3 linked regions of the Oreochromis niloticus genome follow. The protein of the gene in region 2 purifies or fractionates together with the protein of the main gene of each other region. This does not show direct contact. Links are inferred from orthologs where the notes say so. Each region holds a gene or a part of one and is shown on either strand. Other genes may lie near its edges. The genes, in order: psmd5, psmc6 and ecpas.

The links.
Region 1: the proteins of psmc6 (region 2) and psmd5 purify together in Homo sapiens (co-immunoprecipitation; 4 studies listed by BioGRID and IntAct, counting the BioPlex papers as one, with this or other methods). This does not show direct contact. The link is inferred for Oreochromis niloticus from reciprocal best matches to the Homo sapiens genes PSMC6 and PSMD5.
Region 3: the proteins of psmc6 (region 2) and ecpas purify together in Homo sapiens (affinity purification with western blotting; 3 studies listed by BioGRID and IntAct, with this or other methods). This does not show direct contact. The link is inferred for Oreochromis niloticus from reciprocal best matches to the Homo sapiens genes PSMC6 and ECPAS.

What each region holds. Positions count from the first base shown.
Region 1 is NC_031972.2:16,544,076-16,552,051, reverse strand, and holds the start of psmd5 (26S proteasome non-ATPase regulatory subunit 5), read right to left. Parts: upstream 3,034-7,976; 5' UTR 2,906-3,033; intron 1,676-2,905; 5' UTR 1,619-1,675; coding exon 1,386-1,618; intron 1,004-1,385; coding exon 859-1,003; intron 776-858; coding exon 662-775; intron 579-661; coding exon 450-578; intron 243-449; coding exon 133-242; intron 48-132; coding exon 1-47. UniProt on the Homo sapiens protein: Acts as a chaperone during the assembly of the 26S proteasome, specifically of the base subcomplex of the PA700/19S regulatory complex (RC).
Region 2 is NC_031980.2:28,556,904-28,564,506, reverse strand, and holds the start of psmc6 (26S proteasome regulatory subunit 10B), read right to left. Parts: upstream 3,090-7,603; 5' UTR 3,003-3,089; coding exon 2,918-3,002; intron 2,515-2,917; coding exon 2,435-2,514; intron 2,005-2,434; coding exon 1,965-2,004; intron 1,738-1,964; coding exon 1,685-1,737; intron 1,362-1,684; coding exon 1,294-1,361; intron 1-1,293. UniProt on the Homo sapiens protein: Component of the 26S proteasome, a multiprotein complex involved in the ATP-dependent degradation of ubiquitinated proteins.
Region 3 is NC_031971.2:23,753,518-23,761,526, reverse strand, and holds the start of ecpas (proteasome adapter and scaffold protein ECM29), read right to left. Parts: upstream 3,072-8,009; 5' UTR 2,841-3,071; coding exon 2,819-2,840; intron 2,608-2,818; exon of another isoform or gene 2,515-2,607; coding exon of another isoform or gene 2,493-2,514; intron 2,406-2,492; exon of another isoform or gene 2,387-2,405; intron 1,761-2,386; coding exon 1,630-1,760; intron 1,357-1,629; coding exon 1,240-1,356; intron 935-1,239; coding exon 816-934; intron 691-815; coding exon 541-690; intron 424-540; coding exon 246-423; intron 1-245. Other genes in the region: kdm4c (lysine-specific demethylase 4C), read left to right, coding at 6,047-6,190, 6,439-6,614, 7,422-7,536. UniProt on the Homo sapiens protein: Adapter/scaffolding protein that binds to the 26S proteasome, motor proteins and other compartment specific proteins. May couple the proteasome to different compartments including endosome, endoplasmic reticulum and centrosome.

The sequences.
Region 1 (7,976 bases), on a different chromosome or scaffold from region 2:
CATGCTGACTGTGTGCAAGAGTTGTAACCATCTCTACAGCTGTGACCCTGGTAAAAAACAAATTAACAGCATAAATGAAGAAGAAACACTTATGAAAGAAGGAGAAAAGCAGTCAAACTTAGTTTGTACTACCTGACCAATACGTCGTCTCCTGTTAGTTCGCTGAGCAGCTGAGAAATGAGGCCGCTGTTGGCACAGTAACCGAGAGAAATAGGAGATACAGACGAGATTTCCACCACCAGCTGCAAGCAGAAAGGACAAAAAAACTTCTTAAGATCATTTATATGAAAGTGTCAAACTCTGTACATGACATGTATACAATATATAAAATGACCTAAGTCAGTATGTGTAAGTAATGTCATGCTGTCAACCGATTCCATCTAAGTAAATAGAATTTAAAATCATTACAAGGGATGCTGATGCTATGTTATAACCCAGTTTGAACATACCTCATATATTCTGTATCTAATAATGTCACTTGTGGCCATCACATCCTTCATGACTTGCAGCAGGTCAGTCTGGAATAATTTGTCTAATCCAGGCTTGGAATGACTGAACTTAGACAAGGACTGAATCGCCTGAGATAAAACAAAAGAAAAACAGATACTCCAGGCACTGACACTTTATAAAACGCGAGTAATTATAATGCTTTATTCATCACCTGTTTTGCCACAGCCATCTTTTCCTCTCCGATGCACCGGATCGCTGCTCGGAGGACGTCGTGGTTGTTGAGAATTTCAGTAACAGCATCAGGGTCCTCCACCACTCTCCCAATCTGACACAAGTAGGTGGGATTAACTAATATTTTCAGTGTTTTATAAGATACTTTCTGTGCATGTATGTGTGCGAGCAGCCTACCTGTGCCAAGGCCAGTATCTTAACAGTGTCATTTGGGTGAGTCAACCCCCGCTGCAGCTCCGCTCTGTAGTTCTGGACCACATGCACAGGGCTCATGGCCATTAAGATGCGTTCAAGGATGTCTACGCATAGCTCCACCTGTGCCCTGTGAGTATTTATTTATTTAACAATCAATATAGCTCCTTCTTATTTTTTTATTTTAACTATGGTTAGTCTGTACAGTGTTAGAAAATACCATTCACAGCTGTCAGTGTGGAAATATTTGATGTACCAAAGCACTTTTAAGGCCAGGTTGGTGTTTTAAATGTCAAACAGTGTCCTGCTGGGGCTGTGTTGTTAGTAGCACTGTAACCAGTTGCTAACAATTAGCTCAGTTTCAAGCAGCCCTTTTAAGCTAACTAATAAACTCTTCTTGTACGTTAACTTAGTGTCAATATAGCTAACTGTTAGCAATACATATATTATACCCACTGACTGACTCAGCACTTATTCACCAACGTTTAGCTGATGCACAAAGCCAAACCCACCTGTCACTGGAGTTGAGCAGAGAGAATATGACATCTAAACGCTGTCCTCTCACTGAGTCCTTCAAGGCACTGACAGGAATCGCCAACAGAGCAGTTTTTAAACTCTGAAGTTCTTCAACTGGGTCTTCAACCCCAGCGATTTCCTCCAGTAAGCTGTCAATGGAAGCAGCCATATCGTGCAGTGTTTGGGAGACTTCAGCCAAACGTATCCGCCAAACTGATTTCTTCTTCATCCGGTTCCGGATACGGTGGCTATCTAACAATATGGCACATTACCGCCACCTGCTGGACTGAGAAGGATGCTCCACTTATTTCGGATCCCCAAAGTCCTTGTTTTTTTCTTTTCTTTTCTTTTCTTCTTTTTATTTCTTGCCAAATTCTAGCCAATAACCAAATTATCTAATAGTTATATATGTTTACTTGTTGTACGTCAGTATGGTTTGGTACTTTTACACTATTCAAGAGTAATTTCAACATTTCTGACCAATGTTATATAATTTTTTTAATCAAAAATTTCCCCCCGTTTTTCATTAAGCCATTAACATCCTACTAGTTTAAAGAATGAGAAGTCACTTTCCCAGTCTGTCGAAAACTGCTCTGCTGACACACAGTTCATAGCAGTTCAAAGACTTAAATGTGCTCCCTGCAACTTGGCCAAGTTCCACTGTGTTTGACTGTCTTTCTGCATCAGGTAAAAACTCAGACAATAAAGACTTTATATGTCATGGCATTTGACCGATCATAGGGACACAGCAGTGGCGTACATGTTGGTCGGTCCTCAGGTTTAATCTGGCTCAACAGCCTTCATTTCTGCTCTACGTGATCCCTGCCCTATCACCTCCTCCCTCTCCATGTGTCCCCCTTGATTTAAACAACTTGCAAAGTGTAACTTCAATAATAAAATTGCGCTGTATTATAACTTTCAGGTTAACACCAACAACTGACATGATTACTGGTAATGAAAAGATCCTGCATCTAATAGTGTTGGGTTTTCTTTTTCTTTCTTTTTTGGGGGGGTGGGTGCATTTCTTTTTGTTTTTATTGTTGTTTTTCTGAAGCATTTTATTAAAAAAATATTTTAGTACTATTCAATTGTCCATAGTCATCTATAGAACCTTCCGAGTTTAAGACAATGCTTAAGTTTATGATAATATACATTTATTTGTTATTGTTAATTTGTTGCTAAGACCTCATATGCCTGTAGACCCTAAACTCCTAACTAGTAAAGTATGCAAAGAATTTTTCTTCTTCTACTCTGACAAAAGCAAACAATTAGAGGAGCAGCCAGTGTCTCCAAATGTGAGTCTGTAATGTGAGTCTGTAATTGTGATCATGGCACAATATGAGCATTTAGGATCCGCAACTAGTGCTGAGTAGGTACTAGAGAAAGGGGGCTAGAAATGGCAGATGTAAAGTTAAAGAGCGATGTTGCCCAGTGTAAAGCATGTGTGAGAGGGCAGCACTCTGGTTACTCAATAACTGTAGATAGGTGATTCAGTAATTTTTCCCTTAAGGCTTACCTGGTCCAGCTGCTCATTTAACACTTTTTGTTCTTGTAAAACCAGTTTATACGAATTTAGATTTTCCCAGACGCTCACTTCCGGTCGTGTTCTGCTAACTGCGGCCACCTTGACGCATCTTCCTGCAGGCAGAAACAGCCTGTGTGTTTGGTGTACACTGTCTTGCTGCCGTTACCGTCACTCCCAAAACTCTCCCCTCTTCCTAAACAACCAAATCCCACATGTTGACTTTTTTTTAAATTGGTCGACATGGTGCATTTTTCCACCGATAGGAAAGAGGTGGCTTTTTTCCCCCTTTCTTTACTGTTTTCGCGCTGTCCTTAGAAAACGCTTAAAATACACACACACAAAAACGTGACGACAGTATTTAGTAAAAAGCATGGCTTATATATATATTATCATAACTCTGGATTTACTGGCCGGTAATTAAAATTTAAAAACTTTGAAGTCCGAACTTTCAATGTGGGCTGAAACAGAGACTCAGCGTGGCTGCAGCTTGTTGCTAATTACGCTGGAAATGACAGGAACACACTGGACCTAACAGACTAATTATCCCTCTGTCTAAAAACTGAGATGAGAGATGAAACTCTTGTATTAGTAGTAGATTAACTCCCGCATTATTCCGAAAGAGGACCGAAACCCCGGGCGGGCAGTGTTTGTGGCTGAGCTGAATTCAGCTGGAAGCAGGCGACCCCTGGTGGCAGCCGGAGGAAGGGCCTCAAAGTGAACTCCATCGTTACACAGTTCCCTCTGTGCCCAATTCGCTGTAATAGAAATAATAGTGAAGTCATTATTTTAGTGAAAGAGCTCCCGCCATACTCCAGGACCATGCATTTGTATATATCATCATCTAACCCGCACAGATTGAGGCCTGCAGAGAAGCTACCTGGTAGGCCTGTTTGCACACAGCTCAAATCACACAAATAAATAAATTAAAATTGCAACTGCTGGCTTTTTTCTGACAGTGACAAATCAAATGTTTTGTTCATTCTGTTTGCACACTTTTGCACCTTTATTAGAAAATCAGTGGAGTAACTGTGGCACTTAAACTACAAGGAGTAGGGAAAGGAGATATCCAGAAGAGACAGACACTGATATAAACTGCTAAGTTTTATGGTTTAAGAGACATCGTCAGTTTAGAAGTGAGTGATAACTCAGTGCAAAACTAGCTGCATTTACAGAAATACAGCAGCCATTATGGGTGATGTGCAGAGCTGTAGAAACTACAGAAGGCATGATGCTGATGAAGTTATGGGAACTTAAGGTAACACGACAGGTGATAATCAGTGACCAATAGTATGTCTTCGTTTCATGATAAAGGCACTACACACATGATGTTTGCTTTAAGAGTATTAATGCAGAAGTACAGAGAAGGTCAGGAGGAGTTGCGCTCTGTCTTAGTGGATCTAGAGAAATCATGTGATAGGGTCCCAAGAGTGGATCTGTGGTGCTGTATGAAGAAGTCAAGTGTGACAAGGAAGAACAGTATGTGAGGATGGTGCAGTACATGTTTGAGGGCAGTGAAACACCAATGAGGTGTAGAAGTGACAGATGTGACAGCCCCTTCTTGTGATGGTGATAGTCAATGTAGCTACTGAGGTCATACAGGAGTCGCTGATGTTTGCAGACAACATTGTGATCTGTTGTAAGAGTGGGGAGTAGGTGGAAGAGAGACTGGAGAGGTGGTGGCATGCTCTGGAGGGAAGAGGAAGCAACCCAAAATAGATGTGTTTGAATGAGTGTGACAGGCTGAAAGATGAAGAAGCAGACGCAGTGAATGTAGATGAGTTTAAATGCCTGGGGTGAACAATTTAAATCAATGGACAATGCAAAAGAGGCAATGTGGAGTAGGTGACAAAGAGTGTCGGGGGTGATTTGTGACAGAAGGATATCAGCAAGTGTGAAAGGGAAGGTTTACAAGATGGTAGTGAGAGCAGCTAGGAGGCGGAGCTGAGTGACCAGAATGGTCAGGATGAGAAACTCAAACATTCATTCAAACATATTAACTAACAGGTCGAGCAGTTAGTTAATAAAAGTTAATCAAGAGGCGATGCAGAGATGATGTTGAATATGGACTTTCCAGGCAGGAGGAAAACTGGAAGACTGCTAAGAAGATTCATGGACGTAGTGTGACAGAGAGGACACTAAGGATAGGGTGAGATGAGGTAGATGATCCGCTCTGGTGAGCAGCCGAAGAAGAAGATCTAATTGGGTTCAGTAATAAAATATTTTCACTAATGACGGCTTTTGTGGTCCAGGTGACAAGTTGAGTTGTTGTAGCGAAAGTGCACCATTGTTAGTAATGACAACATTTCCACAAATAATTCTTTACAGCAGTTAATCATATTTTTAATCACATTTTTTTCATTGGTAATAAGAAAAAAAAGGGAAGGGGATATTCGTGTGTGTTTGTTTGTTCTATCTAAATTTTTTCCTAATAAAGTCAGCCATCGTTATTTTGCCAGCTTTACAGTTATTCCCATGCTCTCTCCAGATAGGCATGTCTACTATTTTTGACGAAATGGGATGCTGCCCAAACCCAAAAGCCACATATTTCCACCATCTCCAGCTGAATTGATCACTTGAAGTCGTGCTTGGAGGGGACATGTCACAGTAGTGTCAGAAAGAGGATAAGAGGATAAATGAATGGAAATACAACTAATTATTGTTTAAAACAGGAGGTTTGGTTTGGCACAGGGCGCAGGCTCCGTGGTGGGCTGAGATCTGATGCTCTAACAAATACCTGCAGAGTTGCATCACATAAAAAAGTTCTGTTTTAGGCCAGCGAGTGTTCTTCTGCTTGATAGATGGAATCCTTGTTGTGTTGTCTGCACAGTATCCAAATGTCAGCATGCACTTTGCTTTTCCGGATCAAAGAAAGAGGCAGAGCAACCAACGAATTAAACCAGAACATGGACCGAAATGCTTGGAGAGGTGTCAGAAAGAGTTTCAGGCAGGTTTACTTGTCCACTGACAGACCTGGCTTTATAATTACATGAAAATATAGTTCATAGTTATTAAAAATAGAAATAAGCTATTATTGATATAAAAAGAAAAAATAGAATACCAGCCAGTACAGGTTGGTTGGTGTTTTTGATTTTGATTTTCATTCAAAAAAACAGAACATTAATCAGAAATACTCCATATATAAAAATAATTATTGGATTTATTAACCAATAAATCCAATAATTATAAAATACCTACGTAGTTCTGCAGAACCACATTCTCATCAACCATGTCTGCTGTGTTCTACATTGTGTTCACTAATGCAACTTTATCATGTAAAACTGCTAACTGACTGTTGCTATCCATTCATCTAGTTATGGTAATAAATGAAAACTGGCATTTATTTCTCACTGAAATTGTCAGAAATTTGATTTTTCCATATAAGCAGGTGTGTCCTGCTCCCTTCAAAGGACAGTGCAAAATGGGAGGCTCTGATGAAAAACTGAGCGAGAGGACAAGTATGTTAGTCTTCAATCTGAGACACGGGCGTCACACAGGTCTTCAGCTTGGCAGTTTCTTCAAACAGAACATCAGTCTCAACATCAGCAGTGAAGAGGAGACTTCAGCATGCTGGACTTAGAGACAGAGATGCAAAGAAAATCAATATTAGAGACAGACAATTAAAAAAAAAAGAAGACTTGAGAAAGGAATGTTTGGGAGACTGAACAGATAAATCCAGCAGGTACTGGAACATTTGTGAGACAAATGAAATGATGCGGGAGGAAAGGCCGACCCCGTCTGTCTGGCCTGAAGGAGAAATGTGACAATCTGGGATGCTTTGATGGTGGCAAAGTGGGACATTTGTACAGGATAAAAAAGATCTTGGACAGGGGCACCTATCATTTTATTTTGCAGTGCTATTCCAGAGTGTTGGGAAACAACTTTATAGGCGCAAATTTCCTCTTACAATGCTCAGAAGCACAACTCCAAACTATTCAAGAACTATTCAGAGAATAAACTGGGACTCTGTTTCTAATGGAGAGGCCAGCAAAGGGCACCACAAACCTGCTGTGAGGCCAGTATGGCCATAAAAACAGCCCCTCAGACAAGATGTCTCCAGATTATTTCAGCAAACTGACTGAACTACAGTGCCAAAGGTCTGCAAGTTTGGGTCTCGTGCAAGAAAGTCTGAGAATGTATTTTTTCACAAATACAAATTAAGTTAAACTGTCCTTTGACGTTACTAGCACTTCTGCGAAAATGCCATATACCATAAAGTGGCTCACAATATTGTATTCCCTAATACTCTATAGACAAGAAACACAAACTAAAAATGAAACTACATCTACTATGATGTTTGTTAACACAACTCTAAAGAAGAAAGACATCAGCGATGACCCTGGTGGAGCAAATGCTGCTACACATCAATCTGGGGAGAGTTATAAGGCCATCCATCCATCCATTCGCTTCCGCTTATCCTTTTTAGGGTCGCGGGGCGCGCTGGAGCCTATCCCAGCTGTCATAGGGCGAGAGGCGGGGTACACCCTGGACAGGTCGCCAGTCTGACGCAGGGCTAACACACAGGGACGGACTACCATTCACACTCACATTCACTCCTAGTGGCAATTTGGATTATCCAATTAACCTAACCCCACAAGCTGCATGTCTTTGGATGGTGGGAGGAAGCCGGAGTACCCGGAGGGAACCCAGAGCAAACTCCACACAGAAAGATCCCGGCCTGATGGTGGAATTGAACTCAGGACCTTCTTGCTGTGCGGCAACAGTGCTATAAGGCCATTCCAAAAATCTCCAAAGTCCATCATTCTACAGTAAGAGAAATTATTCACGAGTGGAAAACATTCAAGGTAGAAGCCAGTCTTCACATTAGATTATTCACCCTGCGGTTGGTAGTTACACAAGCCAACTGTTAAGCACGGTGGTGGAGGAGTGATGATGGGTTTGTTTTGCACAGGATCTGTGCTCCTTTCAGTCACTGGCTTCTCCATGAACTCCTCTTGATACCAAAGTACTCTAGAGTCAATGCAATGACCCAGACAAAGTTCAGACCTCAACCTGATGGGAAACCTTTGGTGCAACCGTAAGAGAGAGATGTGCATAAACAAAT
Region 2 (7,603 bases):
TACCCTCTCTACATACATGGAGACTGGGTAGAGACGATTACTGGGAGTTGCGATCATACATGATCTCTCATGGTTGGAGAATACACGGGCGATGGCAGTGAAGGTGATGCACCATATGCACTTTGTGCCAATCCTCAGTAAAAAGAGACTGAACCAGAAGCTGCTTGTGTACTTACTTACAGCATCTCAGTGTGGTACAGTGGAAGCAGCAGAGCGTCATAAACACAGCACAGAGGATCGTCAGATGCTCTCTGCCTCCCCTTCCTGGAGGAGATCGCCAATTCCAGATGCAGAAGAGCAAAAATCATCCTGAAAGACTCCTCCCACCCAGCTCCTATCTGTTCAGCTTAATGCCTTCAGTCAAGCCCTACAGGTCGATGAAAGCCCGCACAACTAGTATGAAAATTATTTATTTTATATTGATGTTTAAAGGGAGCTGCAACTGTGATTTCATGTCATATAATGCCAATAAAGCAAACCCATATGGAGTTTCCCCACTGCAGCAGACTTATTAATTCAGAGATGTAAAAGTAAACAAACCTGTGTGCTGTGATAAATCTATTGTTTATTAATCAGTGCTGAGGGCCGTACTACAAAGCAGGAGAGCACTTTGTTGAAATTTCAGTCATAGCTTTCCTGTGTCATCAAAGCAGCTCTCTTTTTTCCTGGCTGAATTACCATGGTAGCTTATTCTGAATAACAACCTGATAAAAGATGCTGTGTTCTGAGTTTGGGTTTTTGGGAAGCTCCACATTTCCTGGGATCTGCTCGAGCCACTCGCCAGGTTTGGGGGTCACTAGCTTGAGTGCTCCGATAACCACGTGCTCTAGGACCACTGTTGCCTTCACCCTCCACATCTTATTGAGCACCTCTCTCAGCCCTTAGTACTTCTTGAGCTTTTTGTGTTCCTTCTTCCTGAGGTTGTTATCACTACAGCCACCTTCCTCTGCTTGTCCACTACTATGGTAATGGTAATACTGTTGGTTAGCCACCACCAGCCATCACCATCCACTGGGTCGTATTCCGTTTTGACCTCTGGACTTCCAGGTCACACTCGGGACAGATGTTTCTGTATACTATGCCAGCCACTTGGTTATGGTGTTCCAATGTTTGCCCTGCCTGCTAGCATCTTGCACCCTGCTGTTATGTGCTGGATCTCACTGCTTCTTTACACAGCCTGCACCTGGGGTCTTACCTGGTGTGTTAGACCCCAGCCTCTATAAACCTTTTTCTTAGTGCTGTGAGACACGATCCTGGTGAACCAATTCAAAGTAGTCATCATATCCACCTTACCTCATGATAGTAAGCGTAGTCATGTCCAGAGCCACTCTGGTCCCTGGCTTCAGCTGGGATTTGTCCAACTGGAATGAAAAAGATTAGAGTTTACATTTTATACAGTCAAGTCAGCATTTTTTGAGAAAGTTTCATTCTAAAAATGACATAACTCAGTGCTGAATAATGGAGTACTTCCAGCTGATTTACAACATTGTGCACAAAGAAACAGACATACATTGGTACAGAGTCTTTTGTAAACCTATTTTTATTTCCTCATCATTGTCAAATGATGAAAATCAAATGATTTATCACTCAAAGCTCTCAGATGTGATTACAGAGGGCTTCCAAACCCCAAAGAAAATTCTGCATTACAAGACAGCACAAACACTAGAATGTGATCAACCCTTACCTGCCTGCGACATCCAACCACATATCGGGGTCCATTGGTAGCCTTTACAATGACTGTAATTAAGGAGCAAAGAACAGATGACTTCAGTCAACAAACAAACAAACCACACACCTGAGTTTAACACCGTAACACAAGTCACAGATTCACATTTGCTATTTCCATTGATTACCAGGCTTCAACACAGGTGTTGCATAATGAGCCTGACAGTAGAAGACTAAAGAGATGTATAAAATTATTCAGCCTTTTCTACCTTTGCTATATATGGGAATGTATGACTTACATTTCTCCTCAGTGAGTTGTTTGAGCACTTCTCCAACAATCTGCAGGGAAGACACATAGTTAGCTAATAAAGAATACATCAGGTCGCTTCTGTTTGTGTTGACATTAGCTTTGTGTACTACAGCCTCACTATTAGTTCTTTAACTGGGACACAAAGGAGAAAAGGAGAAAAGAAAAATCACTTTTTTGACATTGTCTGCTGTTACAGTTTCTCACCTATAGCAGCTTAGTCAGCTGAAAGTGTTCAGCGCTGTAGAGCATTGGTGGAAACTGCTTGTTTCTAGCTGTTGACTTACAACAGCCAGAAATATTGCACACCTAATTACACTAACTGGCTTCAGATTTCTGTCATCAGATAACAAGTGAATGGTCTTCTGTTTGCATTGATTGAGTGTGAATGCACTGATGTACAACGTTAACCTTCAGTCTTTAGTTGAAGCCAAATGATTAATTTCCGCACGGTATATTTACCTGACCGACGCTTTGGAGAGCCTTGAGATCATTCTCTGATTTCTCGTACTGTTTGGTCTGTTCTCGCAGCTGCTCTCTCACTGGAAAACAACGGACAGCCAACATGTTTCATACACACACTAAGAGCTAACTGGAACATTTTGTTACAGCTAATGCTCGCATCAACGTGAAATCAGAAGTTAGCTTTACTTATAGCTCTTGATAACGTTAATAAATAATGACATCACATTCTTAGATTAACTGGCCTTAAAATATGAATTATCCAATGAACGGACGAACTGTATCACTGTCGTGTTTATACACCTAAGCTGGTAGCGAGAGCCGGTAGCCTCCATACATTTCCACCGAGAAGCTAACTGCATGACAAAGCACTAGCTAGCTGGTATGCTAATCAATGCTGGCTGTCCATCTACAAGTAAACAGTCAACTAAACAACACAAATTTCTAGCACGCCGCAAATATTAGTGTTAAATAATCCCTTACATTCTTTTAGTCGCCCATCAACTTCTTTGTGTTCCAGCAATTTTTTCCTGTAGTCCTGCAGCGCTTTTTCTCTAGTGTCCGCCATGACGCCCCGCTGAATGATGGGAAAATGCGGTGTCGCTCCACTGTTGGTGCGTTCGCTTACCTCAGTCGGATGCCGAAATTTCGCGCTCCGTGATGTTGCTGTTCGCTGGGATTGATATTTACACACACACACACACACACACACACACACACACACACGATTCGATTCAATCCTGTTTTATTTATATGGCCCCAAATCCCATCAACAGTTGCCTCAAGTTGCTCGCGATTCTGGATTTAACAAGAGAAGCCAATATATGCTCTATTTCCAGCTCCTGTCAGTGCTCTCTCTATAGCACACACAAACACAACACAATAAGACTGTTAGTTTGTGTTTTTCCATATTTTTTGTCTTTCACGAGTGTCTTGTTTATTAGTGTTCCTCTCATATCTATCCCCCTATCATTTTTTCTTTTTTTATCCTGCCTGTTAGCTCTAGCATTGCTGTATTACAAATGTATTTTTATGTACTGTAAACAATAAATAAAATGAATGAATGAATAAAAGATAAAAGCTCAACTTGGAATAAGTTTGGCACAACGGTGCATTCAGATCATATCCTGATTTTAAACCATAGGTTGAAAGAGATTGAAGTACCCCTGACTCACCTGTCATAATATCTGAGAGAGGGTAAAATAACTCAACATCCAGCCCTTTTATGTTTGTTGTGATGCAACGTGCTAAAACAGAGTTTATTCATACATGCTTTTGTTAATAATAAATTATATTTATCCTTAATCAAAGATATAGTGAAAGTATAATTCCACTTGATATGATGAATGAGGAAAACAGTTTGAGTAATGAAAATGTCTGTTGTAATGTCTGGATTTTGCATGTAGATGTGATTCAGCTTTGACTTTGGTAAATGGACTGATTCTTATATAGCGCTTTTCTACTCTCCCTCAGTCAAAGCGCTTTATATAATATGTCACATTCACCCATGTCACTTTCTTCTATGCTTTAAGTACTTTCTATCTAAGCACACATGCATCAGAGAGCAACTTTGGGTTAATATGTTGCCCAAGGATACTTGGCATGCAGACTGGGGCAGCCAGGGATCAAACCACCAACCTTCCGATTAGCAGGTGACTTGCAGCAAAGCAGATTATTGCTTGTGTGTGGCTGCAGGAATGTGAAAAGATAAAAAATGTATCTCCAGCCCATCCTCATACATGATTCTAAATCAGAGAAGCACTATTATGTATGTAGTCATTGTTAAGCACTGAATCATTATTTATATGTGATTTTGCTGATAGTTAATCATGCTTAATTGATTAATACTGATCATAACAGGTATAAGTTTAATCGATATATTTTTCTGCTGCCTGTCAGTTTAGACATACAACACATATAATGTAATAAATGAAATAACACTAATAGAAATGAATAAATAAACAAGAGGAGCCTATAGAGAATTTACAGAGCTCATCTTAGAAAAAGATGAATGTGTTTGGTACAACAGTGCATTGAGATTATAATTGTGATTGCCAAAAAAGGTCAAAATTTAATATGACCACCTTCAACACAACCTGAACTGTCTAAGGCAGAGGTCCCAAAGTGGGGGGCCGGGCGCCCCCTGGAGGCAAGGGGTATGAATAAAAAAAATTAAAATAAAGAACGCTTGGACACTGCTAGCATAATGCACAGGTTTTTGACGGGCTCCCACATAAACGCAAAGCAGAAGATGAAGCATCGCCAAGTATGTTGAGAAAATATGATGAAGCATATCTTGCCTTTGGCTTCACCTGTACAATGGCCAAGGTAGGTCTCCCCGACAGAATTAGTTTCCCCTGCGTCGGGAGCACGCGCTGGGCTGTCCAAATCATGGACAAACAGTATCCCACATTCTTGATTTTTAGTTCACAAACACTTCTTATAATGAATAACTACTCCTGACATTTTGGAGATGTTGGCTCTTTATACAGTAAAGTTACAGTGGGATACAAATAATATCAGGCTGATCCTGCCACAATTTGTTCCCCCTGTCCAAATCACAGACAAACAGTATCCCACAGTTGTTTATGTTTTTGAACCCATTTTTCACAGAGAGGCATTTTATGACAAATGTATTGATAGCAATGTTGAATATTATTACACGGGGGAAAAAAACAACTGCATGTAAAATAATTACACCCTGACGCCTCTGCTTTTCTAAATGGAGGGACAGTAACTGCGTCTGTATTTGTAAGCGTGTAAAAACTGCAGATAATAAGATTAACAGTAACAGTATTTTGTCTCTATCCGCCATTGTAGAAATTTATCTCATGTAAACAATAACGTGGCGTACAGCGTGACGTGAAAAAAGGCACATACTTTGACGTTGCGTGACGAACTCCGTGTTCCTCGTCCACACCACGTAAACGCAAAAACTGAGTGATTCGAAACGCAGTTTACGTGTTGACAGAAGGTCCAAGCGCACAGAAAAAGCTGCGTTTTCAAAAATACATGTGTAGGTGTGGACGTAGCATAAAAGAGTTAGTAGTTCATTTTATTGCTAAAATGTGCGAAGATTTTCTTGTGAAGCAAAGGGAGGCCTAGCAAAAAAAAAGTTTGGGAATCACTGGTCTAAGGCAAGGTTTCTTGTAATTTCCTTAAGCAGTCAGGAATCGTTGTCCGGGGTTCCTGATGTATGATCCCACACTGTTTCAGTAATACTGATGGCCAACCCATGCCTCATAGTCTTGTATTTGTTTTTTTCTATCCACGTATGCTTTTACTGCATTGCCAGTGTCTTTGACATTGTTGTTATTGCGGAAATTAAAGCCAATCAAATGTTTTCCAGATGGTATTTCATGGTCCACCGTCTTCCTCCATACAAACTGATAATATTTAAAATTTTCACTCCAGTTGTTATGTAATTTTGCATATATTGGCCTTCTCTCGCCGTTTCCCTTTCTAAATGATTTTTTCCTTACAGCCCCTTCCACTGAGACCATTTCTCAATAGGCCTAAGCAAACAGTAGATGAATCAACTAGAGGGACCAGTGCATCTCTTAGGTCCTAAATCAAATCTTTGCTGGAATTTTTTCCCCATTTCTTAGGGATATGACTTTCAGATACTGTTCATCTTCTCTGGATAGTCTTTTAGGCCTGACACTCTTGTGTCGTTTACTTGTCCAGTTTCCTAAAAATTTCAAGAACATAATGCAAACTATGCTGAGATAAGTTTTCAGCTAATAGCTCACTGGGATTCACAGTGTTGGTGCAAAAATACTATACTTATCAGACTTTGTTATCGTTGGTATGGAGTCCATCATATTATCCCCAGTCACTCAGACTAGCATAGCATGTAATTTTCATTATCTTATGATTTACAGTTTAATCCAGCGCAGGTATAACAAGTTTTAAACTGTAGATCTGTTCAGAATTTAAGTCTTTGAATGATCCAGAAACAGATAGAGTCAGATCAGGAGAACCCAGCAGCAGATTCACCTCTGAGGGAGTAAATGAACACATCAGCAAGAGGCCAGCATTAAAACTTCTGAAACTATGTTGTTTCTATATTTTCCAAAGATTTAGAGAAGAGTTTGTGGGATTCAGTGGAAGAAATCTGTGCTGTTGGTCAAGCTGGCCCATAAGAGGAAGCACCCATGGCAGAAGAAGAAAAGCCAAATTAGACAAAATGTACTTCTGCAAACAGTATGACTGTAATTTAAACCTAAATTGTTAGCATTTTCAAGATTCCTCATGAGTAAAACTGTGAGGATGTGCTCAGTCATCGTGACACTTACACATATAGAAGTATAACATTGTCATTTTGTGAAAAGGCATCAATTTTTTGTTTAACTCTGTAAACCATGACTCACTACACTACTTAGATTACTTTTTGTCAGTTTACTTCAAAGACTGGTAGTTCACTGGCTGTAGTTTGTTTTGTTCACAAGGTGCAAAAGGTTGCATCATCTAAATGCATGTAATGATTTACAGGGATAAAACAAGTGGACTCAAGCAGTAGAGCCAGATAGCGAATGAGGCATGAAACAATAGTTACAAAGCTTTATTCAGTCAAGAGAAATATATGAGCAGGATTAACCTGGGCAAGAGGCTGAGCTTGCTGGGGAAATGGGAACAGTCAGTGAGGAACCGTGCAAGATCTAAGCGAGTGAGGAGTTAGATCAGGTGATGATTCCAGAAATGAAGTAAACTATATTGTCCACAAGTGAGTAACATTAGAGTCTTTGCCTTACGTGGAATCCATGTTTCCAGGCACAAAGAGGCATGGATCAGAGCCAGCAGAGGGTGTTCAGGCCGGTAAGTGTGGATCAACTCTGCCCGAGAGGTAATAAGAAAAGGAGTCCACCACCCACCAGCCAGGCACTCCTTCTCCACTGTACTGTACCTGGCCTCTCACTTGGACAGTTTCTGGCTGATGCAAATGACTGTGTGGTCAATCCCACTTATTTGCTGGGACAAAACGGCGCCCACTCCTGTGTTCAAGTGTCAGTCTGCAGGAAGAAAGGGAGGGAAAAGTTAGTAGTGTGGAGCAGGGGTTCCCAACAAAAAACCTTCTTCAGCTGCATGAACTCGGCCTGGCACTGCTCTGTCCACTGGACCAGTTCTGGGGCACTGTGTTGGGTAAGGTTGGTCAAGGGGCTGGTCAGC
Region 3 (8,009 bases), on a different chromosome or scaffold from region 2:
AAGACTGGGATGGCCTAGATTAGTTGGTAAACAACTGAACTTTCAAAACATTGGCAAGGGGGACCAAATCTACCAAATCAACAGGGCATTGAGCTATCCACGCAGACAGACAAAAACAAGTCACCAAACATACTTGGATGGGCATAAATATACTTGGTCGGCCTGCCCAAACACTGAGCATATTATCTTTCCAAACAGATAAACATATAAAGCCAGTACTCATCCTCCCAGTTCAGTTTGTATACCTGCTCCAGCTGTTCAGCATTCCACTGAGCTTCTCCAATCACCCTCTTGGCAGCATAAACACTCATCCCCGGAGGAGGCTGAGGGAGACCCTGACTACTCGCAGCCACTGTCCCATCTCCAGAAGTACCCTGGGAGGAGGAGGGAGCGGGGCGAGTTGGAGATTCATTCAGCACAAAGCTAGGAGGAGAAGGACACTACAGGTCAGCAATTTGTGGTAAAAATACTTCTCAAAAGCAAATAATTTCACCAGAGGTAGGTCTGCAACCCTTATTCGCTTATGAATCATCAACTCACCCATAAGGCATCAGTAAAACATCTAACATGAACTCCAACAGCAGGTGCATTGTCTTTGGCCGCTCAGTTAGGTTAAACAGAGAAGCACTCTTGGAGGTGTCAGTAGGATACTTTATGTGGTAAAGAGTAGGGATCAGCAGGTGCATCAGACTAAGAGAGAAAATAGAGTATGGACAAGTCATTTTAAATTAAGAATAATAAGCTGATATCTCAAGATTGCTTAACACACGTTACACAACCACATCCAAAATGCGTGTTTGGATGCATCCCCTCACCTGTCCTGCTGTGGCTGTGGTTTTCCTTCCATGGCAGTGATGAGGGTCGGGGCTAGCTCACACTGTTTTACCACCTCCAGACGAGGGTAGCCCATTTTAATGTAGATGATGGTGAAATTCTGTGTATAAATGTGACCATCAAAACTCTGCTCTCAATAATAGGCCAATTTTTAAAAACCCAAGTCAATCTAGGATCACTAACTAGATTAAAAAAACCACATAAACGTCAACTCAATCATGTGTATTAAATGGTGTGTTTTTTAAAAAAAAACAAAGGGACAAAAACACTGATCTGATTAAATCCCATGTGGTAACTGTGTGATACCTTACCAACGCTGTTCATTAGCCCATAAGGCAATCACGCCCACAAGGCAAACACGACATCCTCCACTACATGGCAAACATCCTAATATGAGATTCTTACCGTAACGAAAGAGGCAGCTGCAGGGTCTTGGTACTGCACAAGCAAAGTTTCTACTGGAAGTTGAATCTTAGGCCGGCTTTTTATCCTCTTATTCAGGTGGACCAACAACTCCATTACCTAGCAGAGAAGGTGCAGTTTCCACATTTTATTACGTAGTTAAATTAGACAGATGCATAAACAAAGTGAAAGGGAACTAAGCTCCTTGAAGAACCTTTGCATCTAGAGAACTGAGTCTATATCTCTGCTACACCTTCAAATAATTTTTTTCTGGGCTGAACTTTGAAGTAATGATACTGCTAATGATACTGCTGATACTTTATAAACACATCTCCCTTGTAATGCAGTCATTATAATCTCTTAAGTAACAGAGACAGGCTACACCCTTCTTACTTTCTTCCGCACCCCCTCTTGAACGCTGGAAAGCTTGAGGAGAACAGGGGGTAGGAACTTGGAGATAATGTCCTGCAGCTGTTCATCTGTCTCTGCATGGCCCAGGCGAAGGAACACACGTTCCAGTTGATCTGTCAAAAACACATATAATACCCTTGTTAACACATTTTCCAGGCGGCATTTGTCACACGCTAATTATTGGCCCCATCATGGCTAATTTCGCAATATCTTTCTATTCAAGTATCTCACAATACACCCCAAAGAGGTGTCTGTAACACAGAGACTACGACCTTCAGTTTAATATAGAGGGAGAGCAACATGCATGCTTAAAACGGTCTTACGGGCATGTTGCTGCAGTTCTGCTGATAAGTTCGTCCTGTCAGCTGCTGTGCTGGTGCGACCATCACCCAGCCCTGCCTTCCTTCTCCTGGCATGGCTCACCAAGCACCCAGCTAGCTACAACAACTGACAAGACTATTCACGCATTTGATCGTTTCTGTATTATTCAACTAGCTTTTCACTTAAGGTCACATCCTGCAGGTCAAATCCCCAATACCCCGAATATCCTAGCAGTTACTGCGCACTTTCAAAGTTTCATAAAATTATATATATTAATAGCCTACGTGATAGTTTCATTTTGACCATGACTGGGCAAACGGCCTCCTGACGATAGCATTCTGGTTAGCTTAGTAGCTAGCTATCGCACCTACCCCTGGTTTTTAACTAAAAGAAGCTTTAGCGTTACACAAAAAAGCACCTCAACTGTCAGGGCGGATCAGGCATTTTCCTGGATACGTTTTTAGAAACCACGAGTGCGACATTTGACAAAATATGAATCGCCAATAACCCAAAAAGAAACTTACTGAGTTCATCCTGGGCAGCCATGTTTGCAGAAAGTCAATCAGCGACCCCCCAGTTTAGAGAGTGTTACTGCGTCCACCGGCGCCACTCCTAAGCTACTGCTTCATCACCCCAGACACCAAAAACGATTAAATGACACACAAGAAATCACAAGGAAGTTTTGTACATTTAAGAGAGCCTACATGCTCTTATTCTACAGGCTCTCACGACAAATACAACGAGATAGATCGCCCTATCACTGGCATCCTTTTCTGTCACACCAATCGTCTGCATGTCCCCTTCATTACATCCATGAATCTTCTCTGTGGTCTTCCTCTTTTCCTCCTACCTGGCACCTTGTTATCCAGCATCCTTTGTCAAATATATCCTTCCTCTGCACATGTCCTCTCTGACTTTGTCTCCAAACTGCTCAACTTGAGTTGTCCTTCTGATCTACTCACTTCCATTGAAATTCTTAACCTCTTTAGCTCCACCCGTCTCTTTTTTTGTCAGCACCATCATCTCCAAACCATACATCATAGCATGTCTCACATTTCCCATTTATTCTTGCTGCTATTGTTCTTTCACAGCTCACCCCTGACACAAATACACTCTCTCTCGTACACTATCCATGGTTTTGGCTGGTATTTAAACTTATCCAACAGGAGTCCATGGAAACTCCATGGAGACATGCCTGACCTCATCAGTCAACCTATCCATTGCTACTACAACCCAGAAGAAGCTTGTAAGACCCTATACTCCCGATTTAATCCCAGCCCCACCATGAACCTATCTGTCACTGCTACTGCACACCTCACCACTCTCTCACTTTTCTCATACATGTCCAACACACTACTTCATTTCACTTCACTACAAATACACTGGGCTTCTTTAAGTTTCCAGTCCACTTGCTTTTCTTTACAAGCTCCTTACATTACCATGACCTGGATGACTGAGAACCTTCACAGACACCTTCTTTTCATAGCTGTCCTCACTTCCTCCTTACTAATCCTCTGCACTTAATGATTCACCAACTTTCCTCCTCTCTCTCTCGTTTTCTTCATCCATCAGCTCCTCAAAGTACTCCTTCCATCTTCCTAGCACACTCATTAGCAGCTCTGTCCTAAATCACTCTAACCAGCTGCACATCCTTTCCAGGTCAAAATCTTTGCCAGTCAACCAGTACAAGTTATCTATTCTTTAGTGTCCAGCCTTGCATACAACTCACTATAAGCTGTGTCCTTTGCTTTTGTTCCAGTACTGCTGTCCCCCCTCTTTCTTCGTCATCCTCTTCCTTCAAATGAGTTCTTGTACCCTTTCCTTCCACCACCAAAGTCTCATTGTCTACTCTCCTCAGTCCAGGGGATACACGAAATAACTTCTTTGTACAATTATTCACAAATTACTAATTCAGTACTAATTCTGGAGCATTAAATCCCAACCTAACAAACCTCTCACAACCAGGCAACCCAAAAGTTATTTTCATCAGATGCCAAAAAGGCAGCCTAGGCTAAGTTAAGCTACTATTAAAAAATCCTTTGGGATTTAATTTAAGCTTAATTGTTTTAGCTCTTGATATTACAAATTGCACAATTAACTCCAGATTTTTTTTAAAATTTATTTATAGATTTAAAAACAAAAATAACTTTCTCCTCTGGGTCTCAAGGTGCAGCTATAGAAATGACAAAATATTAGACCAGCACTTTTTTTACTTTTTAGCGCTGGGGATGCACGTGCACTTACTACCTACGTCTGTGGCTGCGTTCCAGTTCACGGGCTCGCCTCCCGATCCGCAGATCTCACAGCGCCTGGATAGGTTACTGCACCACGGCCGTGCCTGTGGAGGCGGTGTGGGACACCGCCGTGCTGCACGGCACGAATCAGCAGCAGCTGTCATGTGAATCAGCTGTACGAACAAGGAAGGGGATAAACAACAACACGACCCGAGTCTTTCTAAATCAAGGTAAAATAAAATAAAATAAAACTCTGTACACTTTAATGCGGACATGATGTGAAATACCGGCGAAAATTGTGCAGAGGAAGCTAGCTTTGCGCCAGTTTGTGTGAAAGCAGGGTGCATTTCGTGACTCCTGTGCAGAATTAGCCGAGCTATCAACAGCTAAGCGTTAGCACTGCCACAAACATAAGTTGGCACGCTCTCATGCCACTGGACATCTCGCGCTGTATGCTTTGGCTTTGTTTGTTGGTCTGTTGCTAAACTTGCATAAGAAATAACAGTAGAGAAGTGCTAGATGAAATGTTCTGCACTACATAAAGTGGCGAAGGGGGTAGCTACAGGCCTGTGTGCAGCCTTCTTGTGAGGGGCATTTAAATCCCATTGACTCGTGCAGTAAGAAGTTAGCTAACGCGATAGGTGGCTTAACTTAACAGTTAGAAATGCTTTGCCCTCTCTAACTGTTAGCACCAAATACTGTTGAGCCGCAATGCCCCACGAACACACATTAAATTAAAGCCGGTGGGTATCATTTAAATATAAGCGAGCTAGTCAGCCGAGCTAGCAAGCTGCGCTGTTTGTTCAGCCATTATTTGGCATCCTAACAAAACGTAGGCTAGCTGGCTAGTTAGCTTGTTGGCAGACAACAAAGATCAGCAAAGCCAGAGGCGTTCAGGCAGTGTTATTAATGCGTACATACAATTCTGCTGTGATTTAATGGAGATATTTATTTATCCCAATATATATATTATGCCAGACGGAGGTTATGCAGGGTTTTAAAACGATTGTTTTAACACTCTGACAAAGAGTAAGGATGTAAACATTGTGCTTAAGGATTTTTAATCTCTCAACCCAGAAAACTTGTTCCAGCCTGTGATTGCCTATTACATAATTAGGTCGCATGCCACTAATTGGGTCTCATGTAATGTAGATTGCAGTGAAGTAGCCTTATAAAGAAATATAAGGCCAAACAAACACAACAGCTTCACCCGTTGATCCTTTGTCTGGATACACAGGAACCTCAGAGTTGGGAGTGGGATGGGTGGATGGGACAAAAATCTGAAAAGGGTTGTTGGCATGAGCAAGGATCAATAGATCATATCCACATTTGTCGAATCTCTATCTCCATCTAGTGGCGAACCTGTCAGTTACACGCAAGTCAGTTACCCAATGGGTTAAAACTGCTAATGAGCACAAGATCTCCAAGTAATGCGATTTGTATTTTTTGCAGTCGTCAGAAAAACTGAAGAATTTCTAACACTATAACTATAATGAAGCTATTTGAAATTATATATCATTGTGATGAGTGTGGAAAAAGTGAAATGGGAGGTGAACAGTTGTTAAATGGCATTTTGTATTGTATTTTGTATTTGTAACAAGAGTTGGTGCTGGGGGGTGCAAAACCATCTGTCCCCTTGTTGCTCTACTCCTGAAATTCATTCTAAATAACTAATACCCTGCATTTTTACTAACCATAGACAGTATAGGGGTAAAGTATTTTGACAGATACAGATACTTTTTATGTGAATTTTAAAATTCATACAAAATTCACATTAATGTTGGAACATCATCAATATTTTCTGTTTTTCTTTCTCCTCAGGTTTTACCTGGTAAGGTGGCAGGATGGCGGGAGCAGAGGTGCATACCGCTGCAAACCCCACCTGCAAGATTATGACCTTCAGGCCCACTATGGAAGAGTTCAAGGACTTCAACAAGTATCTGGTTTACATGGAGTCTCAGGGTGCACATCGGGCAGGCCTGGCTAAGGTAAGTAGTGAGTTGAATCAGACCTTGGACAGCTATTTTTTTAAACTTATCATATAGTTACTATATCTTAGTGAGTGGGTTTACATTTTATACATAGTTTGAACCGAAGATGGATTTAGTCAATCAAAAGAAGGAAAAGGAGAATGATGTATAGTGTGACATATGTAAATGCACAAGGAACTGACTTTTTGTTTTGGACAGATACATTTCCTACATCGTTGTTTTTGATTCCTCTGTTTATCCTTCAGGTAATTCCTCCTAAAGGCTGGAAGCCCCGTCGCACCTATGATGACATAGATGATTTGGTCATCGATGCTCCAATTCAGCAGATGGTAGCCGGCCAATCAGGGCTCTTCATTCAATACAACATCCAGAAAAAACCTCTGACAGTGCAGGAGTTCAGACGATTGGCCAACAGTGACATGTGAGTTTTAGCTAGCTGGTTTACATGCTTCGTTAACTCTAATAATCAGGAGCAAGAGTTCTTAAATTCACACAAATGTTTCATTTTGATGTTGTCACAGCAAAAAACCAAATTTCTTCAGAGTTTATGACTATTTACAAACCTTTGTAAAAGGCCTGTAAGGTTTTGTATACTTATACTAATAAAGAGAAATTGACCACAAGCTGGCAAAAACAGTATTAAACATGACCATTAACAAAATAGAATAAAGGAGAATAACTCAAATATGATCGAATGAAATGAAATGAATGAAAGCGTAATAAGGTTAAAATTACATAAAAAGGAGGTCAAGTAAACGGAAAGAGCAGTAAATATACATGAATCAAACAAAGAAGCTCAATATGTTAAAAAAATACACACATACCATAGAAAGCAATGTAAAAAGCTTAATATACAAAAAGCCGGTCAATAATTAAAAATCAAAAATACAATAAAAGTGAATTTTAAAAAAAGGTAAATGTTTAAATGAAAGACTATGTTAAAAACTGAATAGAGAAGTAAGTACGATGTAAAGAAGCTCACAATCAGTAAAGTAAAATAAAAATAGGTTACTAAATCTAGCAAAAAAAACACAAGCATAGCAAATATTATTAAAACAAAGTCCACGTACCCAAGTGTAAAGTGTGGTTAAGAGTAGAAATAAGTTGCTTTGGTGTTGGTCTCATTGGCTCTGATTCTGCGTCTCCGGTTTAGACCACAGCAAAGTACTTGTACAACTTCAAGGATCGCTGTCTAATGTCAAATGAAATTTCTTTCTTTTTCTCACAGGTACTGTACGCCTCGCTACCTGAATTATGAAGACCTTGAGAGGAAGTATTGGAAGAACCTCACTTTTGTTTCACCCATATATGGTGCTGATGTCAGTGGCAGCCTCTACGATGAGGTAGATGGATCTTTCATCTCTCTGTTTTTGCTCTTTTTTTTTTTTTCATGCATGTTGATGCTAAAGCCAACCTTTCTAGTTTAGCTTTCTCTTATTACATTCCCTGCTCAGTTTTTACAATTCGTTTTATCATTAGCAAAATAATAGCAAAATTAAATTGACTGATGATCAGGTTCATGGCCTGTTCCTTTGTTATTTCATGACGAATGAAGCAGATAATATTTGGACTTAATGAGTGTGGAACATGTATTCAGTGCCTTGTGAAACAAGTGTCAAAGTCTACCTTCATGAATGGAAGTACAGAGAGTTACAACAAGGTGCAAATCACTGGTTACACTCAAAAACAAGAAGTCTGGATTAAACTTTGACAGAAAACATCTAAAATAGCCAGAACAGTCCTGGAAAAATCATTTGGACACATGAAACCAAGATTAACTTTTACCACAATGATGGGTAGAGAAGAGTATTGAGAA